Rattus norvegicus: one gene and its partner. The main gene of each other region encodes a partner of the protein of the gene in region 2 in a complex. Links are inferred from orthologs where the notes say so. Each region holds a gene or a part of one and is shown on either strand. Other genes may lie near its edges.

What was found.
Region 1: the proteins of Nr0b2 (region 2) and Nr5a1 are in contact, whole or in part, in a crystal structure (PDB 1YMT), measured with the Mus musculus proteins. The link is inferred for Rattus norvegicus from reciprocal best matches to the Homo sapiens genes NR0B2 and NR5A1. Residues at the interface, in NP_035980.1 of Mus musculus: Thr19, Ile20, Leu21, Tyr22, Leu24, Leu25, Ser26; in NP_001303616.1 of Mus musculus: Ile275, Val278, Arg282, Phe287, Val292, Gln295, Met296, Leu299, Gln300, Asn450, Leu452, Glu455, Met456.

Annotation. Positions count from the first base shown.
Region 1 is NC_086021.1:42,878,844-42,882,650, forward strand, and holds part of Nr5a1 (steroidogenic factor 1), read right to left. Parts: intron 3,270-3,807; coding exon 3,122-3,269; intron 1-3,121. UniProt on the Homo sapiens protein: Transcriptional activator. Essential for sexual differentiation and formation of the primary steroidogenic tissues. Binds to the Ad4 site found in the promoter region of steroidogenic P450 genes such as CYP11A, CYP11B and CYP21B.
Region 2 is NC_086023.1:151,061,418-151,066,014, reverse strand, and holds the start of Nr0b2 (nuclear receptor subfamily 0 group B member 2), read right to left. Parts: upstream 2,856-4,597; 5' UTR 2,822-2,855; coding exon 2,281-2,821; intron 76-2,280; coding exon 1-75. UniProt on the Homo sapiens protein: Transcriptional regulator that acts as a negative regulator of receptor-dependent signaling pathways. Specifically inhibits transactivation of the nuclear receptor with which it interacts.

The DNA of each region.
Region 1 (3,807 bases), on a different chromosome or scaffold from region 2:
CTGGAAAGCTTAGATCAGTTTACCTCTCTTCTCCAACTTCCTGAGCTCACTCAGTCTAAGGGACGGAAGACAGCCATGCAACACTGAGCATGCCCTCAGATTCGGGAACAGGGATCATCCCGCAACCTGGAGATTCCCCCTTTGCATGTCAAGGGGTTCACACCCCAGCTCTGCAACCAGACGCCACCTCGGAACCTATCTTTTATAAGATGGGGCAGGTCAGGACTGGGACCCTTGCCGAGTACCAGCTTGGGGCCTGAGCCTGCAGGACAGACAGTGCTGCCCACATCCCTGGAGGTGGAGGGGATGGGAGATGGCACCCCACCCTGGGAGCAGCCGCTAGCTCCATGAGCTGGGGGCCCCCAGGATCTCAGAAAAGCCCCCTTTTCACGGTTTAATTGAATATTTGAATAATCCTTTCATTCCAGCGAGGCATAAAGAATGTTGTCCCAATAGCAGTGACTCAGGCAGGCGCCCCCGCTCACAATGGCCCCTCGAGTGGCACTGCTATTCAGTCCGTCTTTTGTTGGCTTGGAGCGGTGGGTAAATTGCAAACGCTTAAGGGAATGCTGCCGTGCACCTCAATGGGAATCAGGAAATCGAATGTTAGGTCAATCCATTAAGCTTCGATTAAGTCCTCGGCGGAACAATGCCGGCCGGGCCCATCTTCATAAACACTGCGATTGCCAGGAGAGAGGCACTAATTTTAATTAAGCCTCCTTACCTGCCTCTGAGCTGCCTGAGATGCTATTTAGACGCCAAATGGCACCCTTCTGCAGAGACAGGCGAGAAGGAGGTGTGTAGAGGGGGACAGGGTGGGGGGTGGGTGACAGTTACTGCCTGGGTTTGAGGCGGCCCAGCCCAGGGCGGTGATGCTGAGGGTGCCACGAGCAGGCGGACTGGAAGTCTGTGGACAGGTGACCAGCCCTGCCTTGAGTTCTAGTTTTCCTGAAAGCTCAGCTCTGACGAGGAGCCCTGCATTTCAGAGTCAGAGGGCCATCCACCATCACCCAAATACAGGAGTTGCCTGCTGCAGGGCTCTGAGCTATCAACCTACTATCCTACCCCAGGCTGGAGCCGGAAGGGCCTTAGATGGTGATATGCAAATGTGAGGTGGTCAGGTTATCCCCAGAGTGGGATCCATTCCAGAGGAAGGCTCAAGGTGCCCAATAACCGAGGTCATGCACAGTTCATCCTGGGTCTACCTTGTGGACTCCTCTCCACCCATTCCCCTCCCCATAACTTCCAACAGGCTGCTTCTTCTGCTTGTTTCACCAGAACACTCCTATTCACACTGCAAGGCCCAGCTCAGATGTACGCACCTCATCCTGCATCCCAACCCAGTAGGGTTGCCCCGACTCTGGTCATACTGGACTGCTCACCTCCTATCCCAACTTGAAGCCTCTTTCCAAGGACTCTGTGCCCCAGTGTGTGTCTGTCATTGTTCCCTCATTCTAGGCTCCAGTAGGTTGAGGTCCCAGAATCACTGTCTCCTGTGCCTCTGACATCCCTAACCTCAACTCAACTTCAGGCCCACCGAGCTAAGAACTCCTCAGACACCATGGCCAGACCCGAGACAATAAAGCCCTCAGCCAGACACAAACCATTAATAAAGACTGAGCCTGTGGCCTGGTTAGTTCAGTCACTCTGGCTCATCTGGTTATGGACTTAATAAGGATGATTAATAAAGAACATCAGTACATGCTTCTGAGGGCCAAGATCGTGGTAGAATTACCTCATTGTACCCTTGCAGTATGTCAAGGACACTTACGGATGTCATTTCACACATGGGGAAATAGAGGCTTGGAGAGTGACTTGCTCAATTGCACAAAGCCAGAGGGATCAGAGTAGAAACCAGGCAGCCATGTACTTATACAGAGACTCTTCCCATGCTCCCCACTCTAGCACTGATCTCTCCAAGTTACTGGAGGGGAAGTTAGCATATGGGCTGGGAGGGTGGCTCTGAACTGCCCCAAGTCAAGGCACCACTGAGCCTAGCCCCTAGAGAAATAGGGAGGCCAGCATCCAACTGGACCTAGTAGCTTTGGCTGTAGGAGAAAGGGGACTGTGGGGCTCCCTTAAGGGAGTCATGCTGGGGCTCTGACTGGTGCTGAGAGGTCCTCTTTGCTGAGCACCCCCACCCAAGATTCTCCCAATCCTGACCAGGGCCCCTAAGGCTGTGCTACACTCTAAGGTGGCTACTTCATTGTGGTCATTTCCTAACACTCTCTAGAGCACTAGCCAGGCTGAGAGTCCCCAGGCCCTTGTCCCTTGCCACATGGATGTGGCAAGTAGCCCAACTCTGCCTGAGTACTGGGCTTTCTCTCCAGCTCCCTTCTTCTCTCTGTTTCCAAATACTTCCTACACTCTAGGTAGCATCATTGCCAGACTGCTGCAAAGACAGGTCTCCATTCTCTCTTCCCTCCCATCCCATAACTGCTTCCCTGCTGCGGAATCTTCCATCCAACTCATACACTAAGGCTCCTCCAAGCTTTCTATCCCAGGACTTGGGCTCTCTGAGGCATACCTTCATATCTGTGGCATCTAGCTGCTATGTAGTCCCCATCTATGTATTCCTCCCTTTATAAGACACTTGCTGTTCCCCCAAGTGCATGGCTCTGAGGGCAGTAGTTGGGGTCTTTCCCATTGGCTACGTTGCCTCCAGTCCCTGGCACCAGGCAGGTGTTCAGCGGGTGTTTGCAGAATGAATGAATGAATGTACAGGAGAAGGGATCTAGCGTCAGAACTACAGGGGGTCCCTGTAGTTCAGGGAATTAGGGAAAACAGGGACCCCAGGATGGGAGTCAGGGAAGAAAGAGTCCTAAACGCAGCAGGCATTTAAGTGTGCTGGGTATGAAGAGCAATTTCTGTCGTGATTGGTCAGAAACAAATCAGATGTTCAGAAAGGTTTCCACCCCATAAAAAGCAAAACACCGACAACATCTCGGTCTTTGGGATTTCACACTGAGAAACCATGGCCCTCCAGGGAGCACCCAGACCCTGGCCATGTGCCCTTATAACACTCACTAAAGGAGGATCCTTGTCCCTTGGGTTCTCTAACCACAGTACTACCCCAATGTCTTTACCACCCTCCACTGCAGAGCCTCCAGAGGCCACTCACCGAGGCTGAAGAGGATGAGGAACTTGAGACAGACAAACTCCTGGCGGTCCAGTTGCAGGGCATGCAGCTGCAGCACCAACTCCTGTGCCCGCAGCACCAGGCTGTGCAGCAGGGAGCCAGCCTGCACAGCCACCGTGCTCAGCTCCACCTGCACCGGCAGAGGGCAGGTCAGAGAGGCCGGCAGAGAGAGAGGGAGACAGGGGCTTGGGTGAAAGGGTACAGGGCAGAAGGTTCTGATCAGTGACTTGGGTCAAGCACTGAGCCTCTGGCCACCATTTTGCCAGCATTGTTCCATTTGTTGAACCAAGCTGAGCACCCGTGGCTGGCTGGCCCCATCTTTAGTGGCAGTGGGGCAGGCATCAGGTAGTGGGAGCACTGGGAGCTGAAGGATACTTCCTTTAAAAGGGGTTGCCTTCAGCCCTGTAGTGCGGACTGTTCTTGCATAGCTGACTTTGACAAGTGCCCTTCCCTGGGGCAGGGGAGGAGGCAGTGTGGGTGGTTCTGCTGAGCACAGGAAATGGCCACCATACAAGAGCTGGTTCATTACCACCTTACTTGTTCTCTCTCTCTCTCTCTCTCTGTGAGTCTCTCTCTCTCTCTCTCTCTCTCTCTCTCTCTCTCTCTCTCTCTCTCTCTCTCTCTTCCACTCTGTCACACAGTTACCTGTTCCCTGAAGCTATGGTACT
Region 2 (4,597 bases):
GGACTTCACACAATGCCCAGTGAGCCTCCTGTTGCAGGTGTGCAATGTGGCAGGAGGCATGGAGGCCTGGCACATCTGTGGCAGAGAGGGTAAAGAGGGCCGGTGAGCATCTAAGTCTGTGGAGGTTTGCCCAGGGTGGGAGAATGTTAGCAGTTCCCTTCCCTCGTATGCTGGGGTGCAACTCAGGGCCTTGCGAATGCTAGTGTGCACTAGGCAGACATTCCACCATTGGGCTGCATGTTGATAGCCCCTTTAACATACTAGGGAAGTGGGCTGGAGAGATAGCTCAGTGGTTAAGAGCACCGACTGTTCTTCCAAAGGTCCTGAGTTCAAATCCCAGCAACCACATGGTGGCTCACGACCATCTGTAATGAGATCTGATGCCCTCTTCTGGTGTGTCTGAAGACAGTGACAATGTATATAAAAAACATACTAGGGAAGTACATCCTCAGCTCGTAAAGCCAGGAAGTTAGAGGACGGTTTTGTGGCGGGCGCTGGGAATAAAATCCAGGTCTGTGAGGCAATCTCTTCACTGATGAGTCCATGCCTTGGTCCCCTCTGCCACCTCGGAGGCCCCACCCACTGTCTCCTTCACTATTTACCACTTATCCATCCATCCACTATGGAGAGCAAGCAGATAATGTGGATGTAATGACGAAGACACACGGGCTGGAGAGATGGCTCAGTGGTTAACAGCACTGACTGCTCTTCCAGAGGTCCTGAGTTCAGTTCCTAGCATCCATGTTGTGCTTTACAAGTCCCTAGAACTCTAGTTTCAGAGGATCTGACGCCCTCTTCTGACATCTTTGTGACATCTCCTTGACAGGTGATGTGTACATATGCACACGCATGTAGGAGCTCATAAAGTAATGTATAAATAAATCTTTTTATTTTTACTTTTCATTTGATTTTTTTTAAAGACAGGGCATCTCTGTGTAGCCCTGGCTGTCCTGGAACTAGTTCTCTGACTGGGCTTGAACTCAGAGATCCCAGTGCCTTCCAATGCTGGAATTAAATGCTACCACCACCTGGCTAAATAAATCTTTTTTTTAAGATTTATTTATTTTATGTATACGATTACACTGTAGCTTTTCTCAGACACAAGAAGAGGGCATCAGATCCCATTACAGATGGTTGTGAGCCACCATGTGGTTGCTGGGATTTGAACTCAGGAGCTCTGGAAGAGCAGTCAGTGCTCTTAACTGCTGAGCCATCTCTCCAGTCCCTAAATAAATCTTAAAACCAAAAACCAAACCACCCCAAAACAAAAACAAAAAAAACCCAAAAACCTAACAAACAGAAAACAAAAACAAAAACAAACCCACCAAAAAACCAGGGTTTGAATCTCAGTGCAGCCACTTACTGGCTGAGTGACCTTGAGTAAGTAATTTAATCTTTCTGAGTGACCTTCCTTAAATGAGTACTTTAATCTTTGTGCTTCAACTTCTTCATCTGTCAAGTGGGGATAATGACAGTTCTGGTCACCCACACCTGTTATGAGGTTTAAGCAAACCAATATTTGTAAAGCCCTTAGACTGAGTCCTAACATATGGTAGATGTCATGGGACTAGTTGGGACGCCTACTCCTATGACGTGACATCGTACTTTAATTTCAAGGTCCGTCTCTTGTCTTCCTCAAAGCCACGAGGATTATTCTCCCAAGCTAGGCCATCTTGGTCTACGCAGTGAGTTCTAGACCAGCCAGAGTGACATGGTGAGACTGTGTCCCAGTTCTCCCTGTCACCCCATCACTCTTCTCCTGGCTTGACTTCACCCCACTCCCATACTCTCTCTCTCTTCTTCTCTGAGTGGCCTCCCTGAACCCACGGTGGACCTTCAGAACCTCACTATGCAGCCTGGCTTTGAAGATATATCTGCCAAGCAGCCATGTCCCCACCCCATCTACCCTCCCACACTCCCTAAGATGCAGGCCAAATTTCAGGAACCATGGCAAAAAGTAGTCTCTGCATTAGCTTGGTCTGCAGTCCCAGCTGTGTGACCTTCAGGTAGTGGCTTAACCTCTCTGTGCCTCTCCTATGAGGTATCTATTTTTTTTTTTTTTCTTTTCTATTTTTCGGAGCTGGGGACCGAACCCAGGGCCTTGCGCCTGATAGGCAAGCGCTCTACCACTGAGCTAAATCCCCAACCCGAGGTATCTATTTTTGAGGCTAAAAAGGACCCAAAGGTACAATGGATGCCAAGTCCCAAGAAAGCACTTTCCCTGGATGAGCCCTGTCCCCTCCCACCTTGGCCACCATCCAGGAGTGTCTGGAAGCTCACCTGGGTTGAAGAGGATAGTGCCTTTCAGGTATGCGTACTCCTTGGGACCCAGCTCAAGGCTCCAGAAAGACTCCAGGCAGTGCTGCAGCCACTGCACGGCAGCCAGTGAGGGTTGTGGTGGGTCTGGTGGCTGGGCACCCTGGGCACCACTGTTGGGTTCCTCTAGCAAGATCTTTTTAAGTATGCTGGGGACCGGAGCCTCGGCCACCTCAAAGGTCACAGTATCCTGGGCCAACCCAAGCAGGAAGAGAGGGCCCCAGCAGCCCTCTAGCAGCCGTCGCTGATCCTCATGGGGCAGGAGGCAGAAGGACGGCAGGTTCCTGAGGAAGGCTACAGTCTTGCCTAGGACATCCAAGGCCTCCCTGCAGGTGCGGTGTGGAGCACACAGGCGCACAGGCCGGTGTTGCTGGCACAGGCAGTGGCTGCGAGATGCGGGTGCCATGGGCCTGGTCCTGGGACCGGGGCTTAGAAGTGTGTAGAGAATGGTGGGGTGGCTTGCAGAGCCCTGGCATGGGCAGACCCCTGATTGGCTGGAGCTCATGGTCTGTGTCTTGTTCCTGTTTCTTCCTGGCTCTGTGGCCCTCTCTACGGAGTGCTATTTATATCCTTGATGGGCGGGAGGGGGACTGGCCAAACAACCTTGACTCCAGAAGTCATGTTCATTGAAAAAAAAAAAAAAAACCATACACACACACACAATGCATACACGCTGACCCTGGCAGGACTGGTGGAGAAGTGGTGGGGGAGGGGCACTGGAAGCTCCACGTGGCCTTGCTATCGCTTTAGTCAATGAAGTGGCCATTGCAGGGCACAGGGCCACCTGCCCACTGCCTGGATGCCCTTTATCGGATGACTCAAGTGTATAAACAGGGTTATTAACCCAGGCTGTACCAGGGCACCAAGGTCTCAGGCGTTCAACCAGCCAGGGGCTGGCCGTGACTGTTGTTTCTATTGGTGGCCGTTTTCATGTACACAAGACCAGGGTTCTCACAGAGCCAAGGAGCCAGCCAGGGAGCTGGCTAAAGCCTTGAATACAATACCCAGCCTGGAAGTGGCTTATCGCTGCTTTGTTTGCCTAACCTTGGGGCTCTGCTCCTGTTGTCGGTAAGGAACAGGCTGTAGGGAAGGGAGCCAGGTCCCTGGGGGACTTTGTTCACTGTACAGTCTAGGAGGCTGCCCTCCTGGGACTCCAGGACATGAACCCCTTTGGGAAGAAGACCTTTCAGAGCCCCTGCTCCCACCCTGCATTCCCATAGCTTCACAGAGGCTGGATCTGCCCTTGCAAAACCGAGGGCCTACATGGCTAACATTTAGTAAGGACCCCCCCAACCCCCCCACCCCCACACACTTGGTGTGGGTCTCGGTCCACTGTAACACTGAAGACTTCATTCTTACTCTGTGACACTCTGGAGGTGAAGTGACCTACTCAAAGTCACTCCGACGGGGACAGAGCACAGGTGCATCTGACCTCAAAGTCATCTTTGTTTGTTCCCCTGGATCAATTGTGCAGCCGAAGTGTGAATTTCCCAGAACTGGTGGCTAAGAGGCACCCCCCACCACATACTTGGTCTGCAGGTATGGCCTACCTGTGGTATGGGTAGAAACACATCTCTGCTAGCACATGACTCCTCTGTCTTGGACATTTGTCTCAAGCGGTCAGAGGTGAGGGACAAGGGACATGGGAGGGCCTCAGTTGTGTCGGGTTCCTGACCTTGGCTAGCCTTGCCTAGCAGGCTCCCTGTTGCCACATTCTTAGGCAACCTGGTGCTGTGGATAAAGAGAGATCTGGCATCCTCTGCCCTGGCATCTGGTTTAGGCTCCACGAGTCCCACTCACAGTGTGACTATCAGCTTGTCTCCAGTGTTCAGGGAGCCCCCCCCCCCATTTTATGTTTTTTCTAGACAGGGTTTCTCTGTGTAGCTCTGGCTGTCCTAAGAAATTGCTCTGTAGATCAGGTTGGTCTCAAATTTACAGAAATCCACCTGCCTCTGCCTCCCTAGTACTTAGGTTAAAGGCCCATGCCTCCCCCCAACCCCCAGCTGAGCCTTGGTATCTTAGGTGAGACCATAAGGTCTTCCTTCCTGTGGTACTGATTTAAGGACAGAGCAAAGTCCTGTGTAGACTATGAGACTGGCACCTGACTCTCTTCATCCCCAAAGACAAGCGGGCACACTGCTTTCACTGTAGTGGTGGATATCCTCAGCTCAGGTCCTGTTGGAAACGAAAGGACAGTCAGGGAGCGAAAGGAACAGTCACAGTGAGAAAACGCAGATGCACATGGACTGATGAAGCTCAGTGAGGTGGTTCGGGCAGGGGT